3 linked regions of the Saccharomyces cerevisiae S288C genome follow. The protein of the gene in region 2 interacts with the protein of the main gene of each other region in a biochemical or structural test. Each region holds a gene or a part of one and is shown on either strand. Other genes may lie near its edges.

Evidence for each region.
Region 1: the proteins of PRE9 (region 2) and MOT2 form a complex in vitro, tested with the Saccharomyces cerevisiae proteins (one study listed by BioGRID).
Region 3: the proteins of PRE9 (region 2) and CMK1 form a complex in vitro, tested with the Saccharomyces cerevisiae proteins (2 studies listed by BioGRID, with this or other methods).

What each region holds. Positions count from the first base shown.
Region 1 is NC_001137.3:291,102-295,423, reverse strand, and holds MOT2 (CCR4-NOT core ubiquitin-protein ligase subunit MOT2), read right to left. Parts: upstream 2,375-4,322; coding exon 611-2,374; downstream 1-610. Other genes in the region: ARG56 (bifunctional acetylglutamate kinase/N-acetyl-gamma-glutamyl-phosphate reductase), read right to left, coding at 1-14; RGI1 (Rgi1p), read right to left, coding at 2,873-3,358. UniProt on the Saccharomyces cerevisiae protein: E3 ubiquitin-protein ligase component of the CCR4-NOT core complex, which in the nucleus seems to be a general transcription factor, and in the cytoplasm the major mRNA deadenylase involved in mRNA turnover.
Region 2 is NC_001139.9:759,297-762,668, forward strand, and holds PRE9 (proteasome core particle subunit alpha 3), read left to right. Parts: upstream 1-2,095; coding exon 2,096-2,872; downstream 2,873-3,372. Other genes in the region: CCR4-NOT core subunit CAF130, read left to right, coding at 1-1,842; LSB1 (Lsb1p), read left to right, coding at 3,132-3,372. UniProt on the Saccharomyces cerevisiae protein: The proteasome degrades poly-ubiquitinated proteins in the cytoplasm and in the nucleus. It is essential for the regulated turnover of proteins and for the removal of misfolded proteins.
Region 3 is NC_001138.5:171,880-175,711, forward strand, and holds CMK1 (calmodulin-dependent protein kinase CMK1), read right to left. Parts: upstream 1,999-3,832; coding exon 658-1,998; downstream 1-657. Other genes in the region: IOC3 (Ioc3p), read left to right, coding at 1-406; glycogen (starch) synthase GSY1, read right to left, coding at 2,386-3,832.

The sequences.
Region 1 (4,322 bases), on a different chromosome or scaffold from region 2:
CTAGCAGATGGCATAATGATGCAGACTTATTTCTCACTTCAGATCTCTCTTTCTTTTGCCTTTAGTGGTATATGTGTTAAGTATATTACGGGTCTGAAAAATAATATCCAAAAATGTTCCTAATGGAAATGGATAGCGAACAACAACACGCGCGCAAGCTCTTTATATGAAAAAAAAAAATAGAAGAGTCATCAATTACCACCATTCGGCCACAGTTTTTTGATGTAGACTGAGTCATTCGGATAAGAATTCCAACCAACTGCGCAAGAGATTTCGTTGAAAAAATGTGATTTAAGTGAAAAAATTAGCGAAGCAGGTTCCGTGCATTATGATATATATCATGATGATTATTTTCTATGAATTAGTCATTCTTGCAGCGCTGACGCTTTCATACGTTGTAACGAGTAAATAGACTATACTGGTATATGCTATGGCATTATTCATTAGCCAGATACCTTTCCCAGATACCTTTCCACGTCAAAGGTTTAAAAAAATGGGTGAGATTTTTTTTTCTTGCATTTCGTTATAAACGGAGAGATTATATATTCATGAGAAATAAAAATAGATAAAATTATGGTTAATGCAAACAAGAAAAATATTTAGAGTCGGATTAATTACCGGCGATAATTTTCCTTCCGTTGATTAGTTGATTTAGTAAATCAGAGGAATTTCTTGAGCTTGTATCACCCATTTGTTGCTGCTGAATAGGAACCTTATGTTGTGGACCAAAGATACCCGGTGGAGGGGTACTGACGTTTAATGGTGGTTGGATTTGCTGTGAGACGGTTTGCAGTCTTATTGGTTGGGTGGGAGTTTTCGTATTATCTGTGATTGTAATATTGTCATTTACACCAACATTGACACTCTGCAAGAATTGAACGACAGAAGCAGTGTAGTCTATTGGCTTTATAGCCAGGATCTCCACAAGTTTGTTGGCTAATGTATTGTCACTTTTCTTTGAGGCCTCAATCTTGTCCCAAGAAAACAAAGACGGATACTTTTTATAAGTTTCTTCGTCAATAATATTGGATTTGATAGATATAGGGCGCTTCTGATAATTTGATAGAGAATGTAGTCTTGCATCCAAAAAGTCAACAGCATTCCCTAGTGCGTCATAAGGATCTTTGTATTCCTCTGCAGCAAGAGATTGCTTCTTCTTGCTACCATGGGAGTGACTTGTAGCATTGGTATTGGTAGTAGTTGTCGTACTTGTGATGGTATTCTCTGTTGTGGGGGTAGTATGATGGCCCAGAGAATCATTTAATGTTGGCAAGTTTATGGAGCTGCTGTTTTTAGAGAGATTGATAGAGGTTACAGGTGTTGCTGATTGAGTAACTCCCCAAGGATTTGACCCTGCAGGGACCGGAGCAGGTGTTAATACCGGTGTTCCAGCGTTTGTATGGCTGTCATGATGTAACTGAGCCCTCATCGCCGCCGGTGAAGGTGTGCCTGTGAAATTTTCACTTAGTAAATTGGTATTTGAACCAGCGGTACTGGTAGATATATTGTTGTGTATTCCAGATCTAGTGAATGCAGTTCCGCCACTTTGCTGTTGCGCTTGTTGTTTATTGTGGAGTTCTCTTTTATTAAAAGAATCAGCTTCTTCACCAGGTTCATGCAAAAACATACAGTTGGGATTTGGGCATGGCAATCCTCTTAAATAAGAAGAACAGTATTTAGTAGTACCGTAGGCAGCTTTGATCAGGCGGCCATCCATATACGTCCCGTCTACCTGAGCTATACATCTTGCAGCATCGTCCTTGGATCCGAAGGTTATGTAAACGCCATATCCTGGTGAATGATGGTGATAATGCTCGCTGGTTGTGTTGTTAGAATGGGGTGTTTTTCTATTAACCACAATCTTATTTATCTTACCATATTGGCCAAAATATTTTTCAGATTTCAGAGTGGGCGCAACTTCCTCGTATGGAACAGGAGGATTGATGCCAACAACGTACACTAAATTCTTTTGGATAACTCTGGTACCAGATAAATGTTTCCTATTCGTATATTCATTCTCTTTACGTTCTTTTTCTCTATGCTTTCTTTCTTTCTCCTTCCTAGCGAGCTTGGCTCTCTCCATTTTTAACTCCTCCGGAGATAATGTGACGTATCTGACGTTCTCGTCATCATATTTACGACGACATGCTGGGCAACGGCCATTTAATTCTGGATTTTGTCTGATATTATTGTAGCAAAATTGACAAATTTGATAACCACAGGGACAAGGAAAAAAATTTTTATCAGTAATATCCATTGGTTCAATACAAAGAGGGCAATAATCTTCTTCATCCTCCGATAAAAATGACGTATCAAAATTGCTTAAGGCGTTGTGGATTGCTTGCAAATTTTCTTGAACGTGTGGATTCATCATTATGACTGGATTATATACGATACTTTTATTTGGTCTTTTGTACTTTTTATTAAGTTTTGGGATTGTTGCAGAGTAACAAAAGCAGTAATCTATACTATTCGAACCACTACTGAAAACCCTAGGAGGGCTTTTACTGTATGTAGTACACGTCTTGATATGCTTTTCGGAAATTTTGAAAAGAGAAAGCAAAAAAAAAAATCATATTCACACTTACAATGTTACCCGGGAAGAGACGGCAATCAAGTGGAAGTTCGGGTAATAGCATTCATTTTAGAAGCGTCGATATAATCATCGACCAGGTAGTAGTTTAACAATACATTATCAGGTTTCGCGGCGTAACAGTGATACTACTTTATAGCGTTTCACGTCTTCGGGCTCAACATTTCAATAAAAAAAATTCAAAAAGTTGCTAATCGTAAATCATTAAAGGTACATAAAACTACTTATGAATTTGGGAGGTTAGGATTCAGTACTAACACATTCTCTATGACACAACCTTTAATTTGCGCCTACAGGATGTGTTTTGTAATCGACAAATACCATAGCATCTTCATGTGTGCAAACTACTTGAACGTCTATCTTGAAAGGTCTACCATGGTATTCAGTTTCCTCACCGTAATGCCAGGTGATTTTATCAAATGTCTCTTCCTTCGATTTTTCGTGAAATTTAAGCTCAGGTTTCCTAACGGCTTGCTTAATATCTTTCAAAAGATGCTTTTCAATATGCTGGTGCAGGTGACGCACGAACTTCTTAGAATGAGAATTTGCAGCATCACTAATTTTTTCAGGGTCCTCGTGCGACTCGTGTAGCACAAATGGTGGGTAGTAATTTAATTTACAGTGCAAATGATCGAAATCATCATCTTCAGTTTCATTGGCAATGAAAGTTTCAAAACCCTGCAGGTCTTCAAAAACTTTCACGGTTTCACCATCCTCCGTGGTAACCGTTTGAACTTTTACTTCCTTCTTATCCTTCTTTGTCATTTAAAGTGGAGACGAAAACAGTCGATACCTAATTTATATGTTCTATGGGCAATTATTAGAATACAATGCAGAACTTGTCCCTTTATGAAATGTTTTGACCAAAGAAATTTGAACGTGGAAGAACAAAAGATTCAAATATACGCTAGAAATCTTTTGCCTTATATATGTGCACACAATCAAGTAAAGACACTTGTATTTTTCCACCCAGCAATACCCCTTAAGAACGCTGCCCCTTTCATTCTATATTTAATTAACCATACAGTAACTTATAATACCCCTGATTACAGGATGCATTTGTTATGGAAGTCAATTGCCGAGAGCCGTCCACATTATGCTGGTTGCCTCGAGGATATTATTTTTTAGCACATCCGCAATCTCGCCACACCGCATTTCCGTTCCTTCGGCCCCTGAATCTGGGGTAAAAAAAAAAAAAGCAGTCATCTGGAGATTGTATCACCCAAAAAGAAATACGTTTCTGGCTCGTAACAGGTATGACAACACGTTGTCAGAATACCAAAGTTTAGTCTGAACATTTGACTGCGTGTATATCGGAAACGCTGGATTTTTGGTGCCACCTTCTTCGTTCATGGCATATGTGTAAGTCACGTAGGATTAATGTCATCAATTTCATGAGTTGAGTGAAAGTGCAACTTTACAATGTAGTCAACATACTGCACCGTCATCATTACATATTTCAGATTAAGGGTGATAATGCCGCTTTCATAATTCCTATTGAAACCTTGTATTGGCATATGATACTTCAGGAAGATGTGTTCGGCAATCGTTGCTTTTACTTCGGTACTCTTGACAGATTATGTCATTTATTCGCACCAGTAAGGATGTAGCTCTTGTCTTCTGTAGCCGAATTATCGAAGTTAATGAATAATATTACACACAGCTACAGTTTCAGGAAAAATATGAGACGAGTCGCAAATAAGCGGCCATTGTATACATTATGACAAAG
Region 2 (3,372 bases):
AGGTCTGTAATAGCTACCGTTCTCAATGGATTAGTGAAAAATAATGATCATGATTTCAAGCACGAGTCTTTAAACACATTCATGTCGCCCTATGGAAGAAAATTGTGTCATGGTGCTTTATATGCCGATTTAAGGTCACATACTGCATCTCTACTTGCGCTTGGAGCAAGCATCGAAGATGTAACAGATTTATTTGCCGATTTACAGTCAGGTGATAGATTTGATGAGGATATTAGATATATGTTTGATTATGAATGTGAAGATTATGATGAATCTTTCTCTGAAAGCGATCATGGAGGATTGGATGAAAGCGTTGTTAACCCAACAGAAAAAATAGCATCTGGTAGTAATAATGTTTTCTTTCGGAGACGGTGCAATTGCATCTTCAATGATGATAAGTTGGTGGCAGAGGATGGTGCAAATGAAGCCTTTGGGTCAACAAATAGCGAAAACGTTGAAGGCGCAATGCATAATAATAGGAATGCGGTACATAACGCGACTACAGCCACTTCTGATCACGTCGTTACGTCACCTAACCCACTTTCCGTTAGATCAAGAAGTACTTTTGAATTTGACTATAGTGGGGAAGATTGGAGGGACGTTCCCAGAGATTTCAATATGTACTATTCGCCATCTTATTCATTCATCCATGAGCCTAAGTTAGATGTCATATTTAGTTTGACTCTACGTGGCGCAACAGAAAAGTTGAATAAGGAGGAATCCATATTGTTAGTGCGTTCAGTTGCATCGTGTGTAAGGAACGAGCAGGACCAAATGATTTTAGCAGACCTGGAGTCTAATTTTTCCGCAAGTATAAACGGCGATGTAGAAGGTGAAGGAAATACCAAAATGTCCAAGATAGATAATGAAGATCTCAGAAGAACCACGCCGGATGATATTTATGAAATATGGTCTGAAGAATCAGCATTTGAAAGGATGCTAAACGTGAATCACGACGTTGCGTGGAGATTAATGGATGAAATGTTAATGTGCACCGGTTATAGGAGAATATTGATATGGTTCCTTACGCATTTGGAGTTAAAACATTCGTTGATATATTACGTTTTTGAACTAATAATGGGGTTACGTGGAAAACCGTTTTCCGGAGAAGCCAGTGATCAAGATAAAAAGGATGATATGATATATGAGATCTTGAAGAAAAAGCAGAAGAATGAAGATGCTTCAGGACTTCCCTTTTCAAGGCAAGGACCTATCGTATTATCTGATATTGAGACTAAAATGTTACTGCAGGAGTTTTTTATGAATGCTGCTATTTTTTTGTCATCAAAAAATAACGAAGAAGAGAATGAAGACGGCGAGAAAATCTCCTTGTACTCCCTTGGTTTGGTTAGGTTGATCTGTTACATGGTGCAGACACTCATCGCGAACGACAAGTTTTTTTTTACCAAATCAGAATGCACTTTTGAGCTTCAAACTTTACTGATGACATGGATTGGCATCCTTCCTGAAGCCAAAGATTTATTCTTTAAGATCAAGACAAGGCTCGCCATGGAAGAAGAGGATAGTGCCGATACTATGCAGCATGAGGGCAGGAAGAACTCTGACATAGAGAAGAAGCTAAACGCTAAGCCAGCTTCTGAACTGAATCTGAAATTGTTAAACCTGTTTCCCTCAAAGCCTGCAAACAAAGACGATAGTTCCCCTATTAACACGTTGCGTAGTTTTATCGCTGATTACTCCTTCGACACCCAGGTGAACCCTCCAGGAAGAAGGGTGGTGTTCTACGATGGTAAGATTTTGCCATTGCCCAAAGCCGATAAGCCTATCCCACTTCATGAATATATAACACTCGCAGAGCTCGATGTTGGAGACAGTGAGTGAGCAGTGAATTGCTCATGTTTTCTCTGCATCCTCATTTAATGACAATTAGCCATGTAATAACATCTTGAGGCAGTTAAATATTCGTTACCCTGCAGGTGGCAAAAAATTTATAGAATAAAAGCATAAAAAGATGGATATCTATGTAATAAGGAAACATTGGCAGAGCGAAGAGAACAGACTGCTTTCTATAAAAAGTTTTCGATCAGTCTCTATTTTAATAATTGATTATTGGATATAGTTAGTAGTGTTAAACATGGGTTCCAGAAGATACGATTCCAGGACAACAATTTTCTCCCCTGAGGGACGTCTATATCAGGTTGAATACGCGCTAGAATCCATTTCACATGCAGGTACCGCAATTGGGATTATGGCATCTGATGGGATTGTTCTTGCAGCAGAACGCAAAGTCACAAGTACTTTACTAGAACAAGACACCTCTACCGAAAAACTTTATAAGTTAAACGATAAAATTGCGGTTGCCGTTGCTGGACTGACTGCAGATGCAGAAATTCTAATAAATACGGCTAGAATTCACGCTCAAAATTACCTTAAAACCTATAATGAAGATATACCAGTAGAAATTTTGGTGAGAAGGCTAAGTGATATAAAACAAGGTTACACGCAACATGGTGGTTTAAGACCATTTGGTGTGTCCTTTATCTACGCCGGTTATGACGATAGATACGGTTACCAATTGTATACATCTAATCCATCGGGAAACTATACAGGGTGGAAGGCTATTAGTGTTGGCGCTAACACATCAGCAGCACAAACCCTACTTCAAATGGACTACAAGGATGATATGAAAGTCGATGATGCCATTGAACTGGCTTTAAAAACGTTATCCAAAACTACCGACAGTAGCGCGCTGACTTATGACAGGTTGGAATTTGCTACTATCAGAAAGGGTGCTAATGACGGAGAAGTGTATCAGAAGATTTTCAAGCCTCAAGAGATAAAGGATATATTGGTAAAGACTGGTATTACCAAGAAGGATGAAGACGAAGAAGCTGATGAAGATATGAAATAAGGTTGGAAAGTATTGTTTGACTTCATGCTTATATAAATATGTACGCATAGAAACATATCTCTAAAATTAAAAGTGAAAGAAAAAAATCGCTAAGATTCCCCTTTCGGGGGAAGGCTGAAGAAACTTTTTTTTGCGCAAATTTCAAGATCGGAATCGCTCGAGAGGCAAATATAAAAAAGGGCCTGCTCGTTTGGCCTACTTGTTGTTGGATTCTAACTCCAATCTAATTTTGGCAGCACTTCAAAAATAAACAAAAGCGATGTCTGCGTCACTAGTGAATCGATCATTGAAAAATATAAGGAATGAATTAGAATTTTTGAAGGAATCAAACGTCATATCAGGCGACATTTTCGAATTAATCAATAGCAAGTTACCTGAGAAATGGGATGGAAACCAAAGATCGCCCCAAAATGCAGATACAGAAGAGTACGTTGAAGCTTTATATGATTTTGAAGCTCAACAAGATGGAGATTTGTCATTGAAAACAGGTGATAAAATAC
Region 3 (3,832 bases), on a different chromosome or scaffold from region 2:
TGAGAAAAAGGAGGGAAATGAAAAAGAAAAAGAAGCACTGAATAATGAAGCGCACATATTGGAGCAGAAATCTACCACTGATAATAATCCCTCCATAAATACAAACCCGCTACCAAAAGACGCAAAATATAACACTGCGAGAAAGAAGTTACAGATATTAAAGGAATTTTTATCTGATTACTATTTCATTCTTCGTCAGTTTGAACAAATGAAAGTGCAATTTGCAGACATGAAGCCAGGCAAGAGACAGTTGAGAAGGATACAGCGACAGACTGTAAACTATAATACGGAATATGATAGCGAGGAATATGTCGATGATGAAGAAGACGACGAAGCTGATATTTATGATGACAACGACAATGATTCTTCTTTTGATGATGGTAGAGTTAAAAGGCAGCGCACTTAGACAACTAGCTTTCAACGAACGTGAAGATTGTGAAACTCCTTACAGGCTGCATTTCGATTAATTAAGTAATGTAAAATTAAGACTATTAGTACATAATTAGATACGCGTATCTTTTCAACTAAGGCATAAAAAAAAAAGGTAGAAAGTGAGGACGAAAAAGTGCAAAATATCAAAGTCAAATCTTGCGCATATTCGAGCTTACAAAGTCATTGAAGATTTATTCGCCAGTGTGGTAAAACGGCATACTGTTATCATTCTTCTGTTTTGGTATCCTTCCCCTCTGGTTTCTCCTTCGCCTCATCCAAAGACTTTATATCACTCCCAGGAAGATCGCTATCAGAACTACAGACTCTGTTAATATTTAAAAATTTTTCCTTTTCGGCAAGCACTGTGTTAACTAATTGTGCAAAAGCTTTGCTGGTTAACTCGGACTTCAACTTAGACTGTTCTTCTTCTGATAGCTTCTTGGATAGTTGACTGGTATCCGTTGCTTTCAATGGAGGAACTGAACCGTTTGCTTGACTTCCTTCGTCAAAATCTGAATCACTCTCTGTCTGTTCAAGATACAGATCTCTTAATTTCTGGATCTTCATGTTTAATCTGACTCTCTCAACAGAATTACGGAACTTTTGACGAGCATCCAATCCTTCCTTTAACCCAGGCAATAAATTGTGCGTCTTCAATTCGGTACAAATAATCCATGGATCTTCCAAGAGTTCTGCGGCGGTCGGTCTCTTTGAAGGATCCAAATTAAGAGCCTTCAAGATGAATTGTTTTGCTTTATTGGAAACGGAATCCCAATAAGGCCTATGAAACTTCACTGGATACTCACCAGTTGTGCATTCGTCAAGGAAATCTTGAACCCTTTCGGCTCTAAACGCCGAATAACCGCAAAGCAAAGTATACGTAATGACACCTATCGACCAAATGTCGCAAGGTTTACCATGACCGTCCTGAGTAAGTACCTCTGGAGCCACGTAACCCAGTGAGCCTGCCGGCTTATAGAGGAGTTCCTCATCACTTTTCAATCTCTTTGCGATACCAAAATCAGCAACTACCAGTGGAGATTCGTCACTTTTATCTATATACAGTAAATTTTCCGGTTTCAAGTCCCTATGAACAATATTCTGAGAATGCATATATTTGACTGCGCTCAATATTTCAACCAAAATTCTCACTGCATCTTCCTCAGTGAACTTACCCTTCTTCAAAATCCTATCGAACAATTCACCCCCTTTGGCTAATTGCGTGATAATGTAGAACTTGTCTTTTGATTCAAACCAATCCTTAAATGCCACTATATTTGGATGATGCAGTCTTTGTAAAATGTCTAACTCGTCGTATAAAGCCTCTAGCTGAACCTTGTTTCCCTTTAGTGCTTTCTTGATCAGGATTTTAACGGCCACGTCCTCCCCTGTTTCAGTGTTTTTGGCTTGTCTCACCACACCAAATGTACCAGCACCTAATGTCTTCCCAAAAACATATTTTTTTTTATTCACGTACGAAGCAGGCTGCACATGTGCCATTTTACCTTCAGAATCCTCCTCTGTTTGTTTTGGGGAGCTCTCCTTTTCTGAAACTTTGTCGTCCATAGTAATTGACTCGTTATTTTTTCTGGTGTCTTCCAATATTATATAATTGTGAGTTCTCTACGAGAATTGAAACCATTTATACTCTGGCTTGTAGTCGATGTGGCTTTCGTTCTTTTTATCCCCTGCGTAGGTAGCTCGGCTGCACCATTCTAAACGCGGGGGGAGTTTCTTTTTTTTTTTTTTTCAGCCTTTTCTTCGTAAGCAAAGTATCCCACGTAAAAGGTTCCTTATACTAACACATATGTACTGTAAAGGTAAAATTACTTCTATTTTTTCTACTGCTATTATTTCTATGTACTTATACAAGAATAACAGAACGTGCAATACTAAAATTAATTTGATGCTCAGCTAAAAGAGTAAGATATGTTAGCAGAAGTTAAGATGGTTTTAATTATCCTCGTAGTATGCAGACGTATCGTTGTCATCATCGTCATTGTCGATGGCTCCATTCGTGCTCAAATTAAAATAGTCATCTGCATTATTAGCATCTTGAAGGGTACCTAAATCGCCCGGAGTCATGTAAACAGTACTATTGGACCTTACTTTGGGGGATCCGGGTACACTCAAAGGCCTGGCAATCTTGAATTTCTTGCCACCGGCAAGAGTATTCATATTGGCGTCACTAATTGTTTCACCCACCAGTTGCTTGAACTGCTCTGGATAGGCCCTACGAAGACCCAACTGTCTAGCCTTAACGTATTCCAACCCCATTCTCTTCCAATCTAACAAGTCTGATAGTCTTTCGGTTCTGTTTCTTTGGTTGATTCTTTGTCTTCTGGTCTTGTTTACAAACTCTTCCATGTAGTCTGCTAATTGCTCGACAGATTCATCAGGGCTCTTGAAACGACGGTCTACAATATAAATACCATAGTCTTTCGCTTGGTCTGTTTCAATCAAGTCTTCCATGTAGGCACCGAACCCAGAAACGTTTGTTGTGATAGATGGGACACCCATGACGGTACATTCTGCTGGCGTGTACCCCCATGGTTCGTAATAGGATGGAAAAACACCCAAGTGACAGCCGCGAACAAACTCGTCATAATCCAAACCAAGGATAGGGTTATTGGCGTTTAAGAATTCAGGATGGAAAATCACTTTTACACGATCACTCGAATCATTGAATAATCTAACATGTCTAATTTGGTTTAAAATTGGATCGTTAGCATCATCGCACATGTTATGTGTGACTACCGGAGGCAATTCCCCGTAAGGTCTTCTCAGCGCCAATACCCTTTTCTTCAGCAAAACCTTTTCAGAACTCTTCAACAGCTCATCTAAATTAGTGGGCAACTCTGATTCTAGGCCATTATGAGGGTATCTCATCGTATGCTCGAAAATTCTCTTCCCAATGGATGCGGTGACCTCATTAACAGTATTTTCCAAAGATTTTACAATGGCTTGGCTTTTCAGTGCCTCCACAGTGAAGGAATTGGTTTTGGCAGGCATGATCAAAAACGCTACCACCGTCTTCTTGGATCCAGAAACCTTCAATCTGTAATTGAGACGAGCCAATGATTCAATGAACATGTCAGCACCTTTGTTTTTGTATTCATATCTACCAGCGATAAAGAAATAAACTGTGTTGTCTAGATCGAAATCAAAACAACCATGGAAATGGCCTCTGACGAAATCATTAATTTTGTCCTTTTTCAGGGCATGCAGATTTTGAAATTCATGTACTGCTTGAAACTTAACAACGTTCAAACCATTGGGCAAAATGCCATCCGGTTTCCTCTTCAACAAATGCTCCGCTTCTAATGCAGTGATTTGCGACACAGTCGTAAAAACATCGGCAGTATGAGCCGCAGCGCGCTCAATGCAGTACCTATGATAT